4 linked regions of the Caenorhabditis elegans genome follow. The protein of the gene in region 4 interacts with the protein of the main gene of each other region in a pairwise test. Each region holds a gene or a part of one and is shown on either strand. Other genes may lie near its edges.

Region 1 (4,513 bases), about 15 Mb from region 4:
TCTAACATGTTTTTCAAAAGGTTTGCCACTAAGCCAAATGCGCTGCAAAGATTTCACAATGCTTTAATAATTTCCATTTATAAGAAAGATTGTAAGTTTCGAAATGTAATTGTTTTATTTTAAAACAAACTGTTAGAGCTGAAAAATCACTATATTATCTGCCCTGAACCAACAAAAGAAGTTTCAATTTTAATTCCACAGGCGTTTTCTTGATATTCATTTTTAAAAAAGTTCAATTTCACAACCGCGGTATAGACAAAGCTTCCTCATCCCGTTCTCCAAAAAAAAAAATTATTGATTTTTTCAGAACCACATCAGCTCGGGAACCCACTCGCATTCCCTGCCAACACCGCCATCAACACCACTTTAGCATCATTTGTTTCATCATATCAGTAGTAGATTGTTAGAATCCAAAGTTTTTTCCCTATTTTTGTGATCTCAGCTGTTTTCTGTATAAATTGAAAAAAAACCCTCGCCTAAAATTCTGAATTTTGCCAAAAACCGATATTTTTTGTGTCATTTTCATTAAATGTTCAATTTTTCCGTCTCATTTCATAATTTGCATTTCTCGATTTCCTATTTGTTTCACTTTTTGTCCTTTGACCCCATTTTTCCACACTAATCGGGTAGTTTTTTTGGTTCTTTATATGTCAAATGAATATTTTTTTTGGTTCAAAGTACGATATATATTTATTGATTGACTGAAGAAAACAATTTTTAAAGAAAAAAATCGATAAAATAGTTGGCCACGTGGAATTAGTTGAATTACACTCTTCTCGAGGTGCAGCACACGCATTGAAGAGCACGGTCTGGCTGAAAAAAAATAAATTTGGCAGGGTTTCAAAAGTTGTGAGCTCACCGAGTTTAAGTCGTCGTCCTTCTTGTGGTGCTTCTTGTCGGCGGACAGCTTCGGGTCGAAGATCATCAGAATTCCGACGACTTTCTGCAAAATTGGAGAGATTTTTGGGGGGAAAACGAGCTTCAGGCAACTAAAAACGAGCTTTTAAACTCGGAAAAATGTTCTCAGATACACTAAAAATTGCTTTGCAACCTCAAATATGTTTCGTAGAGGCAAAAGAGCTTAGGCCTCAAAATTTGCTTAAAAACTGCGTTAAAATTACAAAAAATGATTTTCAGACGCTAAAAACAGTTTCTAGACCTTAAAACAGGTGGAACTAAGTTTAAGCCTAATCCTAAGCCTAAGCCTATGCCTAACTTTAAGCCTAAGCTTGTGCCTAAGCCTAAGTCTCAGCTTAAGCCTAAGCCTTAGCCTAAGCCTAAGCCTAAACCTAAGCCTAAGCCTAAACCTAAGTCTAAAAATAAACCAAAGCTATAGCTCTGACCCGCACTAACCGATGAGCTTCCAGCGGCACGGGACGAGATGGAGCAGCAGTTCTGGCACGACTCCTGCGAGTAGATGGCGGTGTTTCTGCAAGCCTGACGCTCGAACGGGCGTGGTCTCTGGATGAAGGATGGTCCGTAGGCTGGAGCATCGTATTGCTGGTTGTTGTTGTAGTTGGAATCTTGAGCTGGGGTTCCGTAGGCTTGTCTCTTCACGCGGTCGCCTCTGTGGTGACCGCGATGGTGCTCTAGAAGTTTTAAGGTGAACGGGACCCGTAGGAAAGTTGTTAAAACTAACTTCTAAGACCGACAAGTGGGAAGGAAGCGTGGACAGAGCAATAGTTGACGTCAAAGTTTGGGAACTGGTAGACTGGGTATTGGGGTTGGTTGTAGGATGGTCCGTTGTCGTAGCCACCGCCATAGTGAGCTCCAGCTGGGGCGTCCTTGACGTCGGATTGCTGGAAAATTGGACATAAAATTTTATTCGCTCATACTTACTGATAATTTTTTTCTAGTACTAAATTCTAAACTAGTCTAGATTCAAAGGTAGGTATTGATTACGTTCCTATACTAATAGTAAGCTACCTAGAACAAGTACTTCAAATGAATGATGGTAAATATTAAAAGCTAAACAATTATTACACTTTCAGTATTTAACAGTTACTACTTAATCTCAAAAGTATTTAATTAGTCCTAATATACCTCCCTGAATACTATTCAATATACATGCCTACTTATAGTATTACCTTTGTATCGGATTAAATAATGTGCCATATTCGTAACGTGTTTAATTTGAATTAGACCTACATCCTATTTAAGGTACATATATTTAAGGTCTAGCTACATCTAGCCACAGTAACTCCAGGAGCAGAACCTAGGTAAAAGAAACTAGTTAAATGTATACTAACCTTCCTAATAAGTTGAATTCTATTAAATATATCTACGCTTAATCAACATAGCATTTCATCAAGAAATCTTATTACCTCTAAATTTTCTGTCCGATTCAAGTTACACCTTAGCAAGTAATCTTATTTAGACTTACTATTTAGGATATCACAATATAGTATAGGTAACCCTTACGTGATACATACTAATGCACACGTGATACGGAATAAACCTAATCTTAATAACTTGAATACAACTAATTATACCTACTGACAATACATCAAGATTTAGTCAAATATCTATAACAGCTTTACTTTTTAACGTGTCTAAATCAAGTTATCTATCAAGCTACAGTAACCTTACAGTCCGTTTTTCCTAGTTCCAACAGAACCAACAGTAACGCTTACCTTCTCAGGAGCCTCGGTGCTCACAGCGCAGGTGACAGCGGCGCAAAGTGCCAGAGACGCGACGATCCAAGTGGTGGAAAACATGATGATGATCGGAGCCAAGATGCTTCGCCGCTTTTATACTTGAGATCCGCCAGAGATATGGAGGCGGGAACTCGGCATTGTAGTTTGAGGGGAAAACGTTAGGCGTTGGATAAAAAACAAAAAGGTTTGGAGCGCAAAAATGTTTGCTACGGAACCTGGAATTAAATCTCACAGCTGTGGTAACTGAGCCAACAAGTCAAAAGGCTCCAATACATGGTGAATCACTCGGACTTGATCAACTGGAAAAATGTTCCTTAACAGTTTTTCTACAGTGTTCTAGTTCAAAATGTGTTGATTTTCTCAAAATACACTTTGCTAAAAGATACACAAATTAGTTCTTTGAACCCCGCTGGATCTCAGACACATGTTGCAACACATCCTTAGGTCACTTTTTTTTCGACCGACTATTTTTTTCAGCTTTTCCATTTTCTTTTTTCTTCGCTGCTCAATCCATCACACATTCCGCTGGGCTCTTTTTCCTGCCGGCCGCAGCCGCCGCCCACCTGATTGCAACATGTTATATGAGAAATGGGATGATTGAGTGGGCTTGGAATTTCAGACATTTCAGATGATTTCATATGGAGCAACTCGTGATGGGTGAAAGTGCAATTGAATGAGAATGGAGAAATGTGCAAATACCTGGAATTTGGGCATGAAATAGATAATTAACGTATTATGTGAAAAATTTGTCTGACAAGGAAAGTAAGTTAATCTAGTCCCGGACTTCGAATCGAGACGTATGTCATTTGAAAGCTTATGGTTAGCCTAGATCACCGCAAAAATTTCAGATTTTTGGAAAAAAATAAAAATTTCCAAAAAGCTTCCACACTGTTTGTTTGACCCTAAAGACCCCCAAAAACAATTTTTAACCGCTCTAGCCACTTTTAAGGCCATTTACTTGACCTAGAATTCAGCAAAAAAATGCACTGGAGCACTTTCAGATGGCGCTTTCAGGGGTTCAGAGTTGAGTTCCGCCGCTGAAATTTTTTTGGTGATCTAGTCTAAACATAAGCTTTCAAAGGCATATGTCCTGATTCAAAGTCCGGGACTAGATTGACTTCCTTTCCTTGTGAATTGAAAGCTTTGGAGTGATTTATAGTGTTCCTAATGGATTTCTCTATGGATTTGCCAATAAAATTTCAACAATTTACATATCAATGAGCAAATTGCAAACACGTAAAATATGCATTACATAGTTTTACAAAGTTTTGTAATAAATTGATATTTATAAAAATACATAAGAGGGATACGAGCTGCTGAACAAAAATGCTGATTATGGTGCATTGAGAGTAGTTTTATTGTAAAATTTTGGCAGTAGGTTTTACATGCATTATTTATGCTTCAGATTCCCTTCTTTTTGGTGCATCGATGAAAAATTTACTGATCAACTTTAACAGTTCATATCTTCGTAGCCTTTGGTTTTATCAAAAAATTATCAACTGGCAAGTTATTTATTATTACTTTTTCTATAACTGTCTAGTTACAATTTTTTTGATATCTTGAAAATTAGCCGAGATATGGTGCAAATCTATCGATCATCTTTTCAATGTTTCCTCTTTTTTCCCCGTTCCATCAACTCAGACATTTCTACTTTCATCTTCCTCAAGCTTTTCCTCTTGATTTTTTTTTCTGTAGGCGGAGCCCATCCCATGTTCCCCCCGAACTATAAAAGCATGGCTCCGCCGACAAATCCATCATTCGATCGCTTTTCAGAAATGAAAACCGTTCTTCTTCTCACAGTCGCCTCGCTGGCCGCCGTCCTCGGTGCAAAGGTATATGGTTTTTTTGGATTTCCG
Region 2 (4,696 bases), on a different chromosome or scaffold from region 4:
GTTACAAAATTAATGTGCTATTCGTAAACCTTTTTTTTTCAGAATTTATTCAACAAAAATCAAGTCGAGGAGCTACGTGCGAAGAAATGCGAAGCCGAACGTAAACTTCTTGGATTCAAACGTCTTGATCTTCTTTTATGGGTTGAGGTTTCACCAGAGCGTAACCAAATTCCGCTCATTCTTGACGTGAAAACGATTTCTGATGCTCTCAATATTTTGTAATTATTTCTATTGCTTGCTACCTGAATTCACGTGTACCACAATATAGTCATGTATTATTTAATTGTTCTTGTTTTTTTGTTGTTTCCAAATACAATACAACTGTTTTAAGCTTTTTCTTTCGTTAAAATTTCTTTAAAACAGAAATGTAACAAAAAACATAAATTTAAACAAACTGTATGGAAAACTGTACAGTTTTCGATACAACGAGAGTTTGAAACTACAGTACTCTTTAAAGGGTCATGCCATTTTCGAATTCATCAAAAGTTCGTCGGGTCGAGACATACATACTACAGTAAGAAATGTAATATTCTCATAAAGCTCAAAACAATGTATTTATAACCCAATCAACAGCATTTAGACCGGACTATATTTTTCCTATCGGGATCTCCCTTTGTTTTGAAACAGACGATTAAAACTCAAAAAACGCAAAGTAAAATTGAAATTCGTTCATTTTGTTAATGATCGAAATATTTAGGTTACATCAGTATAAAAGGTTTGCATAAGGCAATAAAAATAACGTTATTTTACATGAAATGTTAGAATAGAATTATATGTCTAGTTCATAGACATCTGGGACACGTCACCCAAGAGAGTCCGTTGCTGCACGGCCGATCCGATGTTAGTACTGCGCATCTTTGAGGCGAATTCGATGCTTCTCTTGGACTCTGTCGCTTGCTCGTTGCATGGATTGAGATTGACCACAACCATAGTCTTCGAGTTGCCACGTCCCAAGCAGTCCATCAGCACTTGTGTCAGTTTGCTGTCGCGATATGAAACATGTCCCTTCTGGGATCTTTGCTGGCTGATGCACATCTGAAGGATAGACAACGACTGGTTGATATTAGTCATCTCCTTGAACTGGTCGCCACTGACACCAGACTCCTTGGCACGTTCGGATCCTGCGAGATCCACAAGTTTGAGCTGGCACGATGTTGAAATTCCTGTATATCAATATTGTGAATTAATTATTTTTATTTTCGAAAGTTACCAGTTGATGGCTGATGAGCTGTAATCTTCCACATATAAACGGCGTGCGAACGAGACGAGCTCTCATTGCACTTTGTCGCCGCCGTCTTCCTGCCACCGTCTGCTACACGAAGAAGTCTAGCCACATCCGAGACATTGGAAATCGTGTGCTCGGAGAGCCCAATCATGGAAACCGTTTGATCGTTCAAACGAAGTTGGACAACGGCGCGGTCACTGAGAAGGTCGTATGCCACGTTGTTGTAGACTTCTAGGAAAGACAACGAGAAGTCGAATTTCCATCCAAGTGACTCGAGCTTTCTGGATTCGGCGAACAGAAATGCAGCTGCTCTCGGGATGATTCCTTCCTCTTCACCATTTCCTCCTCGCATCGTGTGAGTTTTGCCACTTCCGGTTTGTCCATAGGCAATCAATCCGACGTTGTACCCATGCAGTGACGACTGAAATTATCAATTTTCAATTATTAATATTATATTTTGAAACTAACCCGAATGAACTCCTCGACGTTCGCGAACACTTCCTTCTGCGAGAAGACTGGCGTGAAAACCTTCTCGAATTTGACCACAATTCCAGGCTTCGAGCCTTCATTGATTCTGATGGTATCGATAGCCGGATACTCAATTGCAGAACTCGAGGCGTCGGCTTCAGATTTGATCAACGGCCGAACGCGAACAGCCACACGAATTTGACCGCGTAAATCGACAACATCGTTGTGCAACTTTCTCAACTCAGCTTCCTTTTCGTTGAGCAGATCCCGGAGATCGTTGTTGTGCACACGATAATCCTCGCACTCCTCCACTTTCGCCTTGTTGACTTCTTTCAGCGTGCTCAATTGATCTTGCAGTGAAATCAGCTTGCGATCCGCTCCTTCAAGTTTGCCATCCAGGATTTGGATCTTGCTCTTCTGATGTTCAGCAAAGTCGGTAGCCTCAGCCATCGCACTCTCGAGCTGCGCAATTTTCTCTTCAAGAAGCGCCATCTTAGAAGGGAGAATAGGCTTCTGTGCCACTGGTCGGGCTCTTGTCACCGACGGCTTCAGGGAAGAAGTCGCAGTTGAGCGTTGAGTGGATGGTGGCGGTGGACGACCTGTGCGAAGTTGTCGAAACGTAGAAGCTGCCGTCAGTGTGGAAATACGGCTCGCGGTGGATTGCATCGTTGGTATGGGACGGGAACACGACGCTGGTTTGGCCATCGCTGATCGTTCTGGCAACGATGCTCTACCAGTTGCAGGCGTTGTGGGGGTAGGCAAACGAGACGGAGGACGACGAGCAGCGGCTGAAAACTCGTAATTAAAGTAGTTGTTAACAAAAAAGGTTTTAAACAAAAACAAAAACATGTTTTATTTAGAAGTGTGAACACTTTGAAATCACGAGGAAGTTATTTAAAAACACAAATGACAAATTTACCTCCAATCGTTATTCCTCCAGGAGCCGACTGTCTTGGGATTGTTGTTGAATTGGCTTCTTTGGTGGATGGCGCGGCAGCACGTCCTCTTGTGATCTTCGGCGTTGCTCCGATAGTCGACCGAAACAGGCCACTTCTTCTTCGAGCGACATTCATCGCGAAATTTGGGACAAAAATGAGGAAATCAGCCCCTTCATTGACATTTTCCCGCTCAAAGTTGAACTCCGCCTCTGAAAATTCCCGCCAAATCGAATGGATTACCGTAGTCAACTACGGTATTAGATCAAAAATTTATATCATGTTGAGCTCATCCAGAATTGTCGGATATAATTATTTTGTTGTCAAAAGGCATAAAGAATGCCGTAAAAATTATTTATAACTATAACACAGAAGGCTTATCCATAATTGCACTGATATCAGGTTATACAAACAAATATATAAAATGCAGGTCTAGAAATTATAATGTGAGCGACACTCCGATATTCCGGTGCGCGCCTTGTTTACCGTATATCTACACCAAAGTAATTGCAAAAAAAAAATTTGAAAATATTTGCTTGCGAAAATTTTTATACACTTTCTTCAATATTTTGATTTTTCTGTGGTTTTTTAAAAATATAGGTTGGTAAATGATTGTTTCCAGATGACTTCTATCGATGTAACAGAGATTATCAAATCATCGACATCTTCTTTGTATCAGGTAAATTGATATTAAATTTTTTTGATTATAAATAGTTTACAGCCAGCAAGAAAGAAATCTCGTTTTGACGATAGTGCTTCTTCTTCATCTCAAGCTGGCCAGCCAAAACCAGAAGATATTCTTGCGGCTTTGGAAGCCGATCAATCAAATTATGTGGCTCTCGACGATGTGCAAGTTAAGAAACTTGTTATTCAACTTGACAAAAAGATGCGATTAAATCGAGAACAAAGAGTTAAAAATCCAGATGATGCTCAGAAATTCATGGAATCGGAAATTGAATTAGACAAGGCAATTCAAGAAATGCATAGTCTGGCTTCTCAACCAGACCTTTATGGATCGTTTGTTGAAGTCAACGGAGTTGAAATTCTTCTTCAATTATTAGGACACGAGAATACTGATATTGTGTGTGCAACACTTAGTCTCTTGAGAGAACTTACAGACGATGATGTGATGAACGAAGGAGAAGATGGAGCAGCTGAACTTATTGAAAGTCTTGTGTCTGGATCGATTATCACAACTTTGTTAGCATGCGTAGAGAGGCTCGATGAAAGCGTCAAAGATGAAGCGGATGGCGTCCATAATGCACTCGGAGTTGTGGACAATGTAAGAAAAATCGATATTTGAAAAACAAAACAATATATTTTCAGATGATTGGTTTCCGCGATGACATTACTGAAGAATGCGTAAAGCACGGATTCACGGTTTGGCTTCTGAAAAGATGCTTTCAGAAAGGTGCATTTGATGCGAATAAGATGTACGCTTCGGAACTTCTTTCAGTCATATTGCAGACTTCTGATACTGCAAAGGCAAAGCTGACAGAGAAAATTGATGGCATCGATATTTTATTGAGAGTGAGTAGCCAAACAAAGTATCAAGAATAAATTGAACTTTTAAGACCATTGCTGTGTACAAAAAGAACGATCCAGCAAATGTAGACGAACGAGAATACATGGAAAATCTATTCAACTCACTTTGTGCCGCACTTATGCATCCGGCTAATCGAAGTACGAATTTTTTTGAATATAAACACCAAAAAAATTGCTCTTGTTCAAAATAAATGTTTTCAGAAAAGTTCCTCGACGGAGAAGGTCTTCAATTGATGAATTTGATGCTCCGAGAGAAGAAACAAGCAAGACAAAGTGCTCTGAAAGTTCTGAACCATGCAACATCAGGAGACGAGGGAATCGAAAATTGCAATAAACTTGTCGAAATGCTCGGATTGAGAACAATTTTCCCGTTATTCATGAGAACACCTTCAAAGACAAAAAGAAAGGATACGACACCTGATGAACATGAAGAACACGTTTGTACGGTAAGATTTATGTTGTGATATTATTTTGAATGTTTTAGCTTCAAAATTGGACTGGTAAATCGGACTTTCGGTTTTTC
Region 3 (5,394 bases), on a different chromosome or scaffold from region 4:
CCGAGCTTACTCAACAAATGTTCGACGCCAAGAACATGATGGCTGCTTGCGATCCAAGACACGGAAGATACCTCACCGTTGCTGCTATGTTCCGTGGACGCATGTCCATGAGAGTAAGTTCATCGATTGCTTGTAACTTTTCACTATATGCTTTGTTTTTCAGGAGGTTGACGAGCAGATGCTCAGTGTCCAGAACAAGAACTCCTCGTACTTCGTTGAATGGATTCCAAACAACGTCAAGACTGCTGTGTGCGACATCCCACCACGTGGACTCAAGATGGCTGCCACCTTCGTCGGAAACTCCACTGCTATCCAGGAGCTCTTCAAGCGTATCTCGGAGCAATTCACCGCCATGTTCCGCAGAAAGGCCTTCCTTCATTGGTACACTGGTGAGGGTATGGACGAGATGGAGTTCACCGAGGCTGAAAGCAACATGAACGACTTGATCTCGGAGTACCAACAATACCAGGAAGCTACCGCCGAAGACGAGCCACTCGACGAGTTCGCCGGAGAAGGGGAGACATACGAGTCTGAGCAATAATCTGTGTATCAATCACTAAATTATCCTGCCCCGTTTCGTAATTTCCTGTACAATGATCTTTTCTTTCGCCCACTCCCAATATTTTTATGACTCGAATGAACGATGATTAATTTAAACTTTTTTCCAGTGTTCTCATTATGTTTCAATCATTAAAATATCTTGCAAAAGCTCGATAGAAGGTAGACACTGGTTCACAATTTTCATATTCAGAACAATGAAAGACACAGTCGTCAAAGGATCTCTCAAGTTGAAAAAAGTATCGACAGAAGCGCCAAAGAAGACTAAAAAGAGTAAGCCAGCTATGGACTTGAAGCAAGTTGACATGACGATCAGAAGGTATGTGTAATCCGAAACCAGACAGCTAACGGTCCCAGAGATTCCAGAAACACTTCCGGCGGTGGGCCACACAAAACCGAGGCTGAGCTTCGGTTCGAGGCTAGAAGACAGGCGAACATGGTAGGCGCTTTTTTTTTTAATACTTAAAATTCACATAATTTCAGGCGGAAAGAATGCTGAAACAGGCGGCGTTGAGTCATCGTGAAAAGGTGGAGAAGTTGAACAAGCAGCTCGGCGAGATGACAGAATTCAACGACATTCCAAAAGTTTCCTGGACGAAATAATAATAATAATCTCTCTCTCTCTCTCTCTCTCTCTCTCTCTCTGTACTTTACTTGAATCATTTGTGCATAACTGTCAATAAATCTTTTTTGGTTTTTTTGCTCCAAAATGTATATTTTCCTTGATTAATTCGTGAATTTTCGTAGCTTGAAAATCCTGTACTTCTAATAAAATGCCATGGCCACGTCATTATAATTCTCCAATAATTCCCACTTTGCGTCAAATTCGGCGTATTCACAGACAAAGAGTGTCTGCGTCTCTCCGTCTCTCGCCTCTGTCCTCACACACGCCCTCATTTGCGCGAGAGCCTGACACCGGCTCCGTGAAGCTGGAGCCGACTTCATTGATTATTCGGGTTACTGGCCTCACACACACGTTCTTCTCAAATTTCAGTGGAACTCGAGGAAGCTCAGAATTTATCATTTTTTCATATTATCTCCTCTTTTGTGCATTTCCCAATTTCCCACGCGTCATCGTCGTCGAATATTGATTGAGTTGCCCTTTTCTCTCTTATCATTTTCAACATCACGTTTCCGCATTTTCATTTCCATCGAGTTCAAGGTTTTTCAGTTTCAGAAGCACAAATGCTGCGAGGTAAAGTGGATCCGAAGAAGGAAGAGCAGGAAAGACTGCAAGGCTTCCTGTTGGACATGCTCAAGGAAGAGGAGAACAAGTATTGTGCCGATTGTCAGGCGAAAACGCCAAGGTGAGAATTTGAGACGAAAATCTGGAAATTCGCGAATTTAATATAGTATATTTCGGCTTAAAATCGTTATTGCAGTAAATTTACAGGTTTGCCGGAATAATTCTTTCGAAAACTGAAAAAAGTCAAAAATTATTTTTCCGCTTGGTTACAGTTTTTAGACTTTTTTTGTCAATGCAAAACCTTCGCGGATTTATTGGTCCAAGGAATTATTCCGATAAATCCACAAATTTCAAAATTTACCCCAAAAACCGTGCCAGGATTGCAAAAATTGCAGAAATAACAACAAAAAATCAATATTTATTTCAGATGGGCTGCCTGGAACCTCGGCGTCTTCATCTGCATCCGATGCGCCGGCATCCACCGTAACCTCGGCGTTCACATCTCAAAAGTGCGCTCAGTGAATCTGGACTCGTGGACGCCCGAACAAGTGCAGACGATGCGGGTGATGGGCAACGAGAAGGCCCGACAAGTCTACGAACATGATCTACCAGCGCAATTTCGGCGGCCCACCAATGATCAGCAAATGGAACAATTCATTCGGAGCAAGTATGAACAGAAACGGTATATTCTGCGAGATTTCGTGTATCCAAGAGTTGACGCGAGCCAGCTGCCGAAATCATTGTCTCAGGCACAGAAGAAGGTCGGAACGCCCGTTGTGAACATTGCATCACGTGGAAGTAGCTCTAGCAATGGACATTCGACGGCTTCAGCTGCTGCTGCTGCTCCATCGCTTCTAGATTTTTCTGATCCTCCAGCCAGCACAACTCCTGCTAAGAAGGCCGTCAACTTATTCGACGACTTTGATGGATTAAGTCTAGGACCAGCGGCTCCGGCAGCAGCTCCAGCTGCTCTCAACGATGATTTCGACGATTTCGGATCATTTGTCTCGGCGAACTCACAAAATGCTCAACAGAATGCTCAATCTCTTGGAGGAGGATTCGCCGATTTCTCATCGGCTCCAACGACAGCAGCTGCAGCGCCTTCAGCTTCTTCTGGCCTCGATGGTATTGAATTTTCACCTGGTCTTTGTCGCAAAAAAAGATAATCAAAAAATTGAGGAAAAATGTATGAAAATTGAACCAAATTTCAATTCCTAATTTTTATCCAAAAAAAAAGTCATTTTTCGGGACCTTGGAAAATCGAACAAGCGGGAACCAAAATTCATTTGTTTTTCACTTTTGTAAATAATTTTTTTAAATGATTTTTCCTTTTCAGATCTCACCGCTCTCTCCTCAACGGCTCCAGCGACAAATGGAAGTGATCAAAAGAAAACCAACGCAGATATTCTTTCGCTTTTCGGCCCATCTGGTGGCATATCGGCTCCGAATGTAGTTGCTCCCGGAGGATTTGCCGGATTTGGACTGCAAGCTGCTCCGGCTCAAATCCCGCAACAAGCTTCTTCGTTCCACCAATTCGGGGCTCCAGCTCCAGCTCCACAACAAAATGATATGTTTGGAGGACTGTCGGGTATCAATTTTGGAGCACCACCACCATCGGCTCAAATGTCTCAAATCCCACCAATGGCTCCACCACAATACTTTGGAGCTGCTCAATTTGGAGCAATGTCTTCCAGTGGATTCGGTGGAATGAGTATGCAGTCTAAACCAACGCCTACTTCACCAACTGGATCACAAGGATTCAATATTCCGAATAAATCGAATGCTTTCGCTGATTTGGCACTTGGAAAGGTACAATTTTGGCACTTTTGAGCGTTAAAATTCTAGATATATTGAAGAAAAAAACTAGAAATTTAGCAAAAAATTCAAAATTAAAATTTTTTTCCAAACAAAATACCCGTTTTTCGATAACTCTCGCTTTATGCTTTTTTTTCAAGCAAAATACCTTATTTTTCAGAAAAAATTGTCTGATTTTCGTTGAAAAATAAACGAGTATAATCAAGAAAAAATCATATCATTTTTTACCAATTTTTGCATGAATTATTAACTAGAAAGTTCCGGAAAAAACATCCAAAAGCACAATTAATTTGGATTTTTGTTTCAAATTTCCTAGGTTTTTGTACCGAAAAGAATTCACATTTTTTATTGAATAATTTCACAATTTTTTTTGGAAAAAAACCAGCAATTTGATGCAATTTTTTGAAAAAAAAAGTAAAGTTTTGAAAAAAATTTCGATCATTAAACTAAAAAAAGTCGAACCTGATTCGATATTTCTTGAAAAAAAAAATTAACCTATTATAATTTTTTTTTCCAGGTAATGAAGACAAACTACGGACAAAGTGCAATTCATCACCAAGCGGCACCAATTTCCTCTAATAGAGCGTCACCGATGCCGGCACAATCCAACACTGCCGCCAACAATGATCTTTTCGATATGTTCGCCTCGGCACCGCCACCGGTTACAGTCAATTCGTCTTCGTCTGGACTTGACGACCTCCTTGGACTCTGAAAAACTAGTTTTCCACCTAAAAAATGCATAATTTGACCTGTGATTTTATTTTTCTTTTCTCCCTCTCTAAACACTTTCTTTCCTAGGAAACTGCGCTTCTTTTTGTGATTTTTTTCTAGTAAATTATTATTCTCATCAACATTTCCCCCCGATAAAGTTCGGTTGTGTGAGCCCCAGAAATTCCAGTCCCTTCAGCATATCCGAAATGTGTATTAGGAATACTACAACTTTTTTTTCAGATTTCTATAGCCCCTCTCTTTTTCTTTCTCCTTCAACGTACTAATTCATGCTTAAACTGATTTTTAATGTGTTTTTTTTTCTGTCGAATGAAATTTATCGAGATTCCTAATCTTGAACTAAAATTTCGACTGAAAATGACTTTTGTCGACCCCCGGCGAAATAGTACGAGAAACGAGTAGCACGCAGACATGTTCGTCCTGATTCCGGTGGGAAATATCACACGAATCGTGGAGACGCAGCAGAAAAGCCGAATGAGGCGGAATGCGCGGGAGGGAATTGGGCTGAAGAAGACGAAGAAGATGAAAGGAAACCACAATTATCGTTCTTCGGTTTGAACATTTCGATTATTTTTGTTTTTCCTTTTTTTCTCTTCCGTTAGTTTTCTCGATTTTTCTGGAGATTCGGTTTAATCCGGTTTTTTTTTGCGAAAATTTAATTCCAAAATGTGCCAACTGTAAAGGCGCACATCTTCTACCCTTGCATGGGTTCTGCAACGATCAAAGTCAGTTTGAGAGAAGTGAGCATGTGCCTTTAAAAATTACTGTAATTTCAAACTTTCCTGCGAAGTTTCTCTCGAGTTTTGTTAAAATTTAAGTGTTTTATTGCTATATTTAATTTTAAAAAAAGCGAATGTTAATTTCTTCGAAAATTTTTTTTAAACAATTGATGAAAATTTATGCTCCACAGCAACAAAAGTTTGATATATAGTACTATTTAAAGGCGCATACCTTTTCAAAATTAAAAAATTTTTGCCGTGTCGAGACCCAAAACCAGGCTTCGTATTTGTTACTCAAAAATCGAAACATTTCGTGGGTTAAAAAATACTTTTAAGGGTTTTTGAGACAATTTAACTCCCGATATTTCAAGAAATATTCCATTTCTT
Region 4 (5,013 bases):
GTTATGTAACAACCGAAGAAAAGAAACCTAATCGGCAGGAGCTGATGAGTTTGATTTAAAATTTGCATAGCCATTTCGACAGCAAACATTTTAAAAACAAAACCTCGCTTAAAATGAACATTTTGAGATAAAACTTCACATTAACTTTGTCTTTAACTTTGAAAACATTTTGAAACAGAAACAATTTTAATCCTAAATTTTTTTCAAATTTCCCACCAAAAAGTGCCTTCTCTTACACTTTTCCCACTGGGATCCTCAGCGGCTCCCTCCAAATCGCGGCTCATCAATCTTGCTCAAAAAAAATTTATTTGCACCCACCAATTGTCTACCACCTCCGATGGGAGACGGGTGCTTTGATTAATAATTATGATATTTTTGGTTTGGCTTTTTTTGGTTTTACTGTTCTTTTCGAAAATAGAAGTTTTGGAGCATTTTTATATTTTCCATGAATCTCGCTATTAAAAAAAAGACAATTTTGGAAAAAAAATTTGCCGTTTCAAAAGTAACATATAAACAAATAAATTTTTTAACTTGCAGTATGGTGTTTACTTGAGTAATTAGATTTGTTTCCATCCTAAACTTTCTTCCACGTGGCATATTACGTTGAATTCTTACAGAATAATTAAAATTATTATTAAAAATTTGAAAAAAATGACTTTTGGATGAAAATGTTTGACTTTTCCCAAAATTTCATCTGCATTTTTGTAATATTACTCGGTTTACTAACAGTTCTTCATAATTTACGGTTTTTTTTTCAAAAAATGATATTTTTTAAAAAAAGCTTTTTTTTGAAATTTTTCTACGAAAATTCCGAAATTGTGCAGAAAATCGTCAAATTCGTTTTCAAAATTTTTCAATTAATTTAGGAATTTTTGATTGTTAGAAAGTTTCTCAATGAAAGTTTTAAAGAATTACCAATTTTTGAATGTGAGCTGTACTCAATGTAGAAGCAAATTTTACGATAATAAATGGATAACTTGAAACATTATTTTTCAAAAAAATTTCTACAACTGCTGAAAAGTTAATTTCTTAAGAGGAAAATGTATTATCTTCGTCGCATAACGTTTTTTGTTGCTAGAAATCCGGAATACGCGTTGATTTCTGGAAAAAATTGTGGAGTTTTTTGCATTTTCGAAAAAACAAATTTCACCGTTTCAGAAATGTCTTAAATCGTTTTGTTTTCAATTGAAAAACGCTTCGATTTTGAGAAAACTGGCCGTTTCAAGAATTATTCAAAAATCGGTCTGTTTTGTTCTCTACTCTACTGACAAGTACTGTTTCAGAATGTTCACAAAAAAAGCTAATTTTATAATAAAACTAATTGTACTACGATGCAGTAAATATATATTTTTCGTATGAAAATTCTCACTTCACTCAAAAATTGATTAAAATTGTCATAATTAATTTTGAGATTTCTATTAAAACTGCTAATTCAAGGTTTTAACAGAATTCTCCATAGAATACTAAAATTTACAATTATTCCTGAATGCATATCAAAATGTTATTTTTTCTATTCGGAACTAGATCACGTAATTGTTCGTGAAATTTTTGCAAAATAAATCGAAAATGTGAATAGGTGAAATTTTGTTTTAAAAAAAAATTTTGAAAAAAATTCACTTTTTCACATAGTACTCATAAGCACTGTTATAAAACCATATCTGATGTCTCATTGTTAACATTTTCTCTCAACTCTCCGTCCACTTTTTAAATAATCAATAATTCCTCCTCAAAATCCCAACATTTTACAGATGATCTCCTCGGGGTGGATGCAAGAAATGGAGCCCATACCAGAGGAGGGAACCGAGGCGGATGGCTCCGAGTGGGGAGCTATGTCGGATACCGCTAAAAGGACGATGCGAAAGAAGGAGGTGTACACTTCGGAACAGATTAATACGCTAGTTAGGTTAGTTTTTTTTTTTGGAATTTTTATTTTTGGGAGGGGTTTGAAAGAGATCTCAAAGTTTGAATTAATTTTGAAATTGAAAAAAAAAGTTTTGCAGTTTCTGGTTCTTGAGAAGTAGTACAAGGAAATAGAAAAGCACTTATTTTTGAAATCGAACTTCAAAACCAGAAATGAAAAATTGATCAAAAACTAACTTAAAAATTGGGCATAGAACATATTTATTTGAAGAAAATTAAATTTTCAGCCAACAAAATGTTCTAAAGTTTCAAGTTCCTTAGATATCACTGAAAATATCTAAGCTCTTTTTGACATCAAAGAAAAACAGATAAGTTTTTATTATATATGATCTCGATTTTTTTCTCTGAATAATCTCACACATTCAAATTGATACTCTTAAAATTAAAAAAAAACAAAAGAAATAACTGATTGCGTATTAAAAAAATAGTTAAAATTCCGAAACTAGAAATTAAGTTTAAAAATTAAAAAAAAAACTGTTTCTAGTTCTTAAGATATAACTGCTCCAAAATAGAAGGGCAGTCTCATAGGGTCTCGTTGACAAGCTGAAACGAAAGTAGTGTATTTTTTCAAAAACGAACTAATTCTGCATAACAACAGCAAATCTCGGCTTTTAGCTAAAAAATCTAACACTTATTTTTACTTTTTCTAGTTTCCCAAATAAAACCTTTAATTTTCCATTAAATATTGATTTAAGTGCCTGTCCTTTCTAGTAGTACTGCATAGCTTACGATCTTCTCTTTAAAATATTTATGAAAATCCAAAATATTCAAAGCAATAATACAGAAAGTGTTTTGTTCTACAATTTGGTATCAACTTTTTTCTACTGTTTTTACACCTTAAGATAAAACTGCTCTGAATTGAGTGACATTCTCGCTCTTGAACAAAACGCAGAGAAATCAACCACTTTTTGACCGTTGTTCCACCACTTTTTGTAAAACAAATTACTGGTTAAAAGTTGCCTATTTCAAAATTTTCTTTCTGAAAAGTAGTAAAATATTTCGTTAAAAAATAGAAAATCGGAGTTTGTCAAGGAAAAAATTTTGGAAACTTTTTTCCGACTGTTTCTATTGCTTAACATATTAGTTCTCGAAAATAAAAAGGCAGTCGGAAACCAGATATATTTTGAAAGTTGATAATTTCTCTAAAAGCAACCTAATTCTGCATAAAGTCGGTATTCTAAAATTCTCGACTGCGAAAAATAAATTTCTACTGTTTCAAATTGTTTAGATAAAACTACTTAAATTGATTAAAGATAGTGCCATTAATTCATCCGATATTCCCATCTCACCTCTCTTTAATTCCCTCCAAAAAAGCCGTTTCAAAACCCTAACCGCCGCCAAATACAAACAGTCCGTCCTATTTTTTCCGTTTTTGCATCGGATTAGTGTTGTGTCTTCCGTCTCTCCAAATCCCACACTATCTCTCAGCCAGGTCTACAAAATGTTTATTATTGTCATTAATATTCGTTTCGGCTATGTTTTATTGGTATATCATTGGATTGGAACGACGACGCTAGTGGTCATTTATTGCAACTTTTGAGTTGCGGCAAAACTTTAGAAATTGAAAAAAATAGTTTCGGTTTCAAGGGTTTATACTTTTTTCCGAACATTTTTGGTTATCAGATCCAAAAATAGTTAAATCTAATTTTTGTTTGACAATGTATATGCAACTGAAACTGCAAAACCAAGTTAAAAATTTTTTAATGTAACCAGCCTACCATAAATAAGAATAAATTGAACATTTGAATGTTTTAATAGCAGTTTTTATTTAAGTGTATTCCAAGTTAATTTTCTTCAAAATTTGCAAAAAAAATGTTTGCTTAATGAAAGTTTTATCGAGGCCACTTTATTTTGGCAAAAAAAACTATTTCAATATGTTTTTTAACGACTTGCAAGTTAAACTCATATTATTGTTACTTAACCTTTGAAATAAATTTGACCCATATAAGTTTCATAATATACATGGAATCCTTGCCTGAAAATTTTTTAATATTTCAAAATAATTAAACGGTGAAAATTCATAAATTTGCTTTTAAAACTTCAAGAAATTTCAATTTTTAAATTAAAATTACTGTTTCAAAACTTTGAGAAAATGTTTCTGATTAGCTGTTATTTTATTGCACAATTGATAAGGATAAAATGAAACAGTAAAACAGCAATTTTTAAAAACTTGACAATTGGTTCCCGATGACGTCACTGGAAATGCAAGGATGTGCAAGGTGTGAGTAATCGAAAATACCCTTCCCTTCCCTGTCTCAAACGGTCCATTTCTCCACGGCAAACAAGAGACCATCTAAAACAATATGTCATTTCCCTCTCTCCACTCTGCGTCTCACACTCTCTTCCCGCACGTTGGCACTCTGCCAAAGTGTGTAGAGAGAGTGGAGAAATAGAGAGTGAGACAGAAGGTTAAAAAGGTGTGAGTGAGAGAATGTCCTCGATGAAGAGAGGGGACGAACAAATGAATAAATTGCGTTCGCCGTTCTCATTTCCGATGACTTTTTGTTCTTTTACTGTGGAGAGATTTTCTGAAGAATGGGAGACACTTTTTTTCCACTGCTTTAGATGTTTCTTTGAGCATGTAGTTTTGTAAACGACGTTCTCTACATAAAATTGATTTTAAATACAGTTTTTTTTGCTAAAATTCAACAGAAAGATGAATTCTAAAAAAAAAAGAAAAAATTGTGTAAAATCCTGTTTTTTTCAGTTTTAACTATGAATATTCGAAAAAAAAACTGTTTCAAGATGTTGTTGAATTTTCTTCAAGTTTTTTAGTTAACTGTTATTTTGTCTAAAATTTCTCTAAATACTATTTTTAGATATTTCACATAACAATTTTTCTTCTTAACATTGTTTCAAATAGATCATATATTTTCGAAAATGTTTCAAATATTAGTGGGAAAAATCATTCCAGCGGACAAAATAAGCTGTTAATCTGAAATTATTTCTCTGTTTTAGGCTGTCAGTGAATTTTTTAAAATTTCAGTTCACTGCTGATTTATTTTAAAAATAACAAAAAACTGCCAAGTACTGTTTCAAACGAAACATATAATTTGTTTTTTTTTTTCAAAAATTTAATGTTCATATACTGGA

Evidence for each region.
Region 1: the proteins of jac-1 (region 4) and perm-2 interact in a two-hybrid assay, tested with the Caenorhabditis elegans proteins (one large-scale study listed by BioGRID).
Region 2: the proteins of jac-1 (region 4) and klp-15 interact in a two-hybrid assay, tested with the Caenorhabditis elegans proteins (one large-scale study listed by BioGRID).
Region 3: the proteins of jac-1 (region 4) and smap-1 interact in a two-hybrid assay, tested with the Caenorhabditis elegans proteins (one large-scale study listed by BioGRID).

The regions. Positions count from the first base shown.
Region 1 is NC_003282.8:1,125,005-1,129,517, reverse strand, and holds perm-2 (uncharacterized protein), read right to left. Parts: upstream 2,729-4,513; 5' UTR 2,718-2,728; coding exon 2,634-2,717; intron 1,800-2,633; coding exon 1,640-1,799; intron 1,590-1,639; coding exon 1,354-1,589; intron 944-1,353; coding exon 860-943; intron 814-859; coding exon 766-813; 3' UTR 653-765; downstream 1-652. Other genes in the region: C44B12.6 (Clip domain-containing protein), read left to right, coding at 308-370; perm-4 (PERMeable eggshell), read left to right, coding at 4,433-4,489.
Region 2 is NC_003279.8:5,576,416-5,581,111, forward strand, and holds klp-15 (Kinesin motor domain-containing protein), read right to left. Parts: upstream 2,780-4,696; 5' UTR 2,767-2,779; coding exon 2,613-2,766; intron 2,482-2,612; coding exon 1,694-2,481; intron 1,647-1,693; coding exon 1,211-1,646; intron 1,164-1,210; coding exon 778-1,163; 3' UTR 655-777; downstream 1-654. Other genes in the region: rmh-1 (RecQ-mediated genome instability protein 1 homolog), read left to right, coding at 43-222; ctnb-1 (Beta-catenin-like protein 1 N-terminal domain-containing protein), read left to right, coding at 3,251-3,307, 3,350-3,910, 3,955-4,158, 4,203-4,311, 4,375-4,619.
Region 3 is NC_003281.10:10,736,128-10,741,521, reverse strand, and holds smap-1 (Arf-GAP domain-containing protein), read left to right. Parts: upstream 1-1,729; 5' UTR 1,730-1,743; coding exon 1,744-1,865; intron 1,866-2,171; coding exon 2,172-2,869; intron 2,870-3,080; coding exon 3,081-3,553; intron 3,554-4,076; coding exon 4,077-4,271; 3' UTR 4,272-4,629; downstream 4,630-5,394. Other genes in the region: tbb-1 (Tubulin beta chain), read left to right, coding at 1-113, 164-541; tass-1 (Protein FAM32A), read left to right, coding at 756-877, 916-997, 1,042-1,161.
Region 4 is NC_003282.8:16,023,583-16,028,595, reverse strand, and holds the start of jac-1 (Fibronectin type-III domain-containing protein), read left to right. Parts: upstream 1-1,748; coding exon 1,749-1,903; intron 1,904-2,042; exon of another isoform or gene 2,043-2,067; intron 2,068-2,163; exon of another isoform or gene 2,164-2,184; intron 2,185-2,207; exon of another isoform or gene 2,208-2,228; intron 2,229-2,440; exon of another isoform or gene 2,441-2,461; intron 2,462-2,606; exon of another isoform or gene 2,607-2,627; intron 2,628-2,789; exon of another isoform or gene 2,790-2,816; intron 2,817-2,967; exon of another isoform or gene 2,968-2,988; intron 2,989-3,025; exon of another isoform or gene 3,026-3,046; intron 3,047-3,174; exon of another isoform or gene 3,175-3,198; intron 3,199-3,544; exon of another isoform or gene 3,545-3,565; intron 3,566-3,828; exon of another isoform or gene 3,829-3,852; intron 3,853-4,001; exon of another isoform or gene 4,002-4,022; intron 4,023-4,033; exon of another isoform or gene 4,034-4,059; intron 4,060-4,700; exon of another isoform or gene 4,701-4,724; intron 4,725-4,816; exon of another isoform or gene 4,817-4,837; intron 4,838-4,998; exon of another isoform or gene 4,999-5,013. UniProt on the Caenorhabditis elegans protein: May act as a positive modulator of hmr-1 function during epidermal morphogenesis. Required for proper localization of other junctional components, such as pac-1.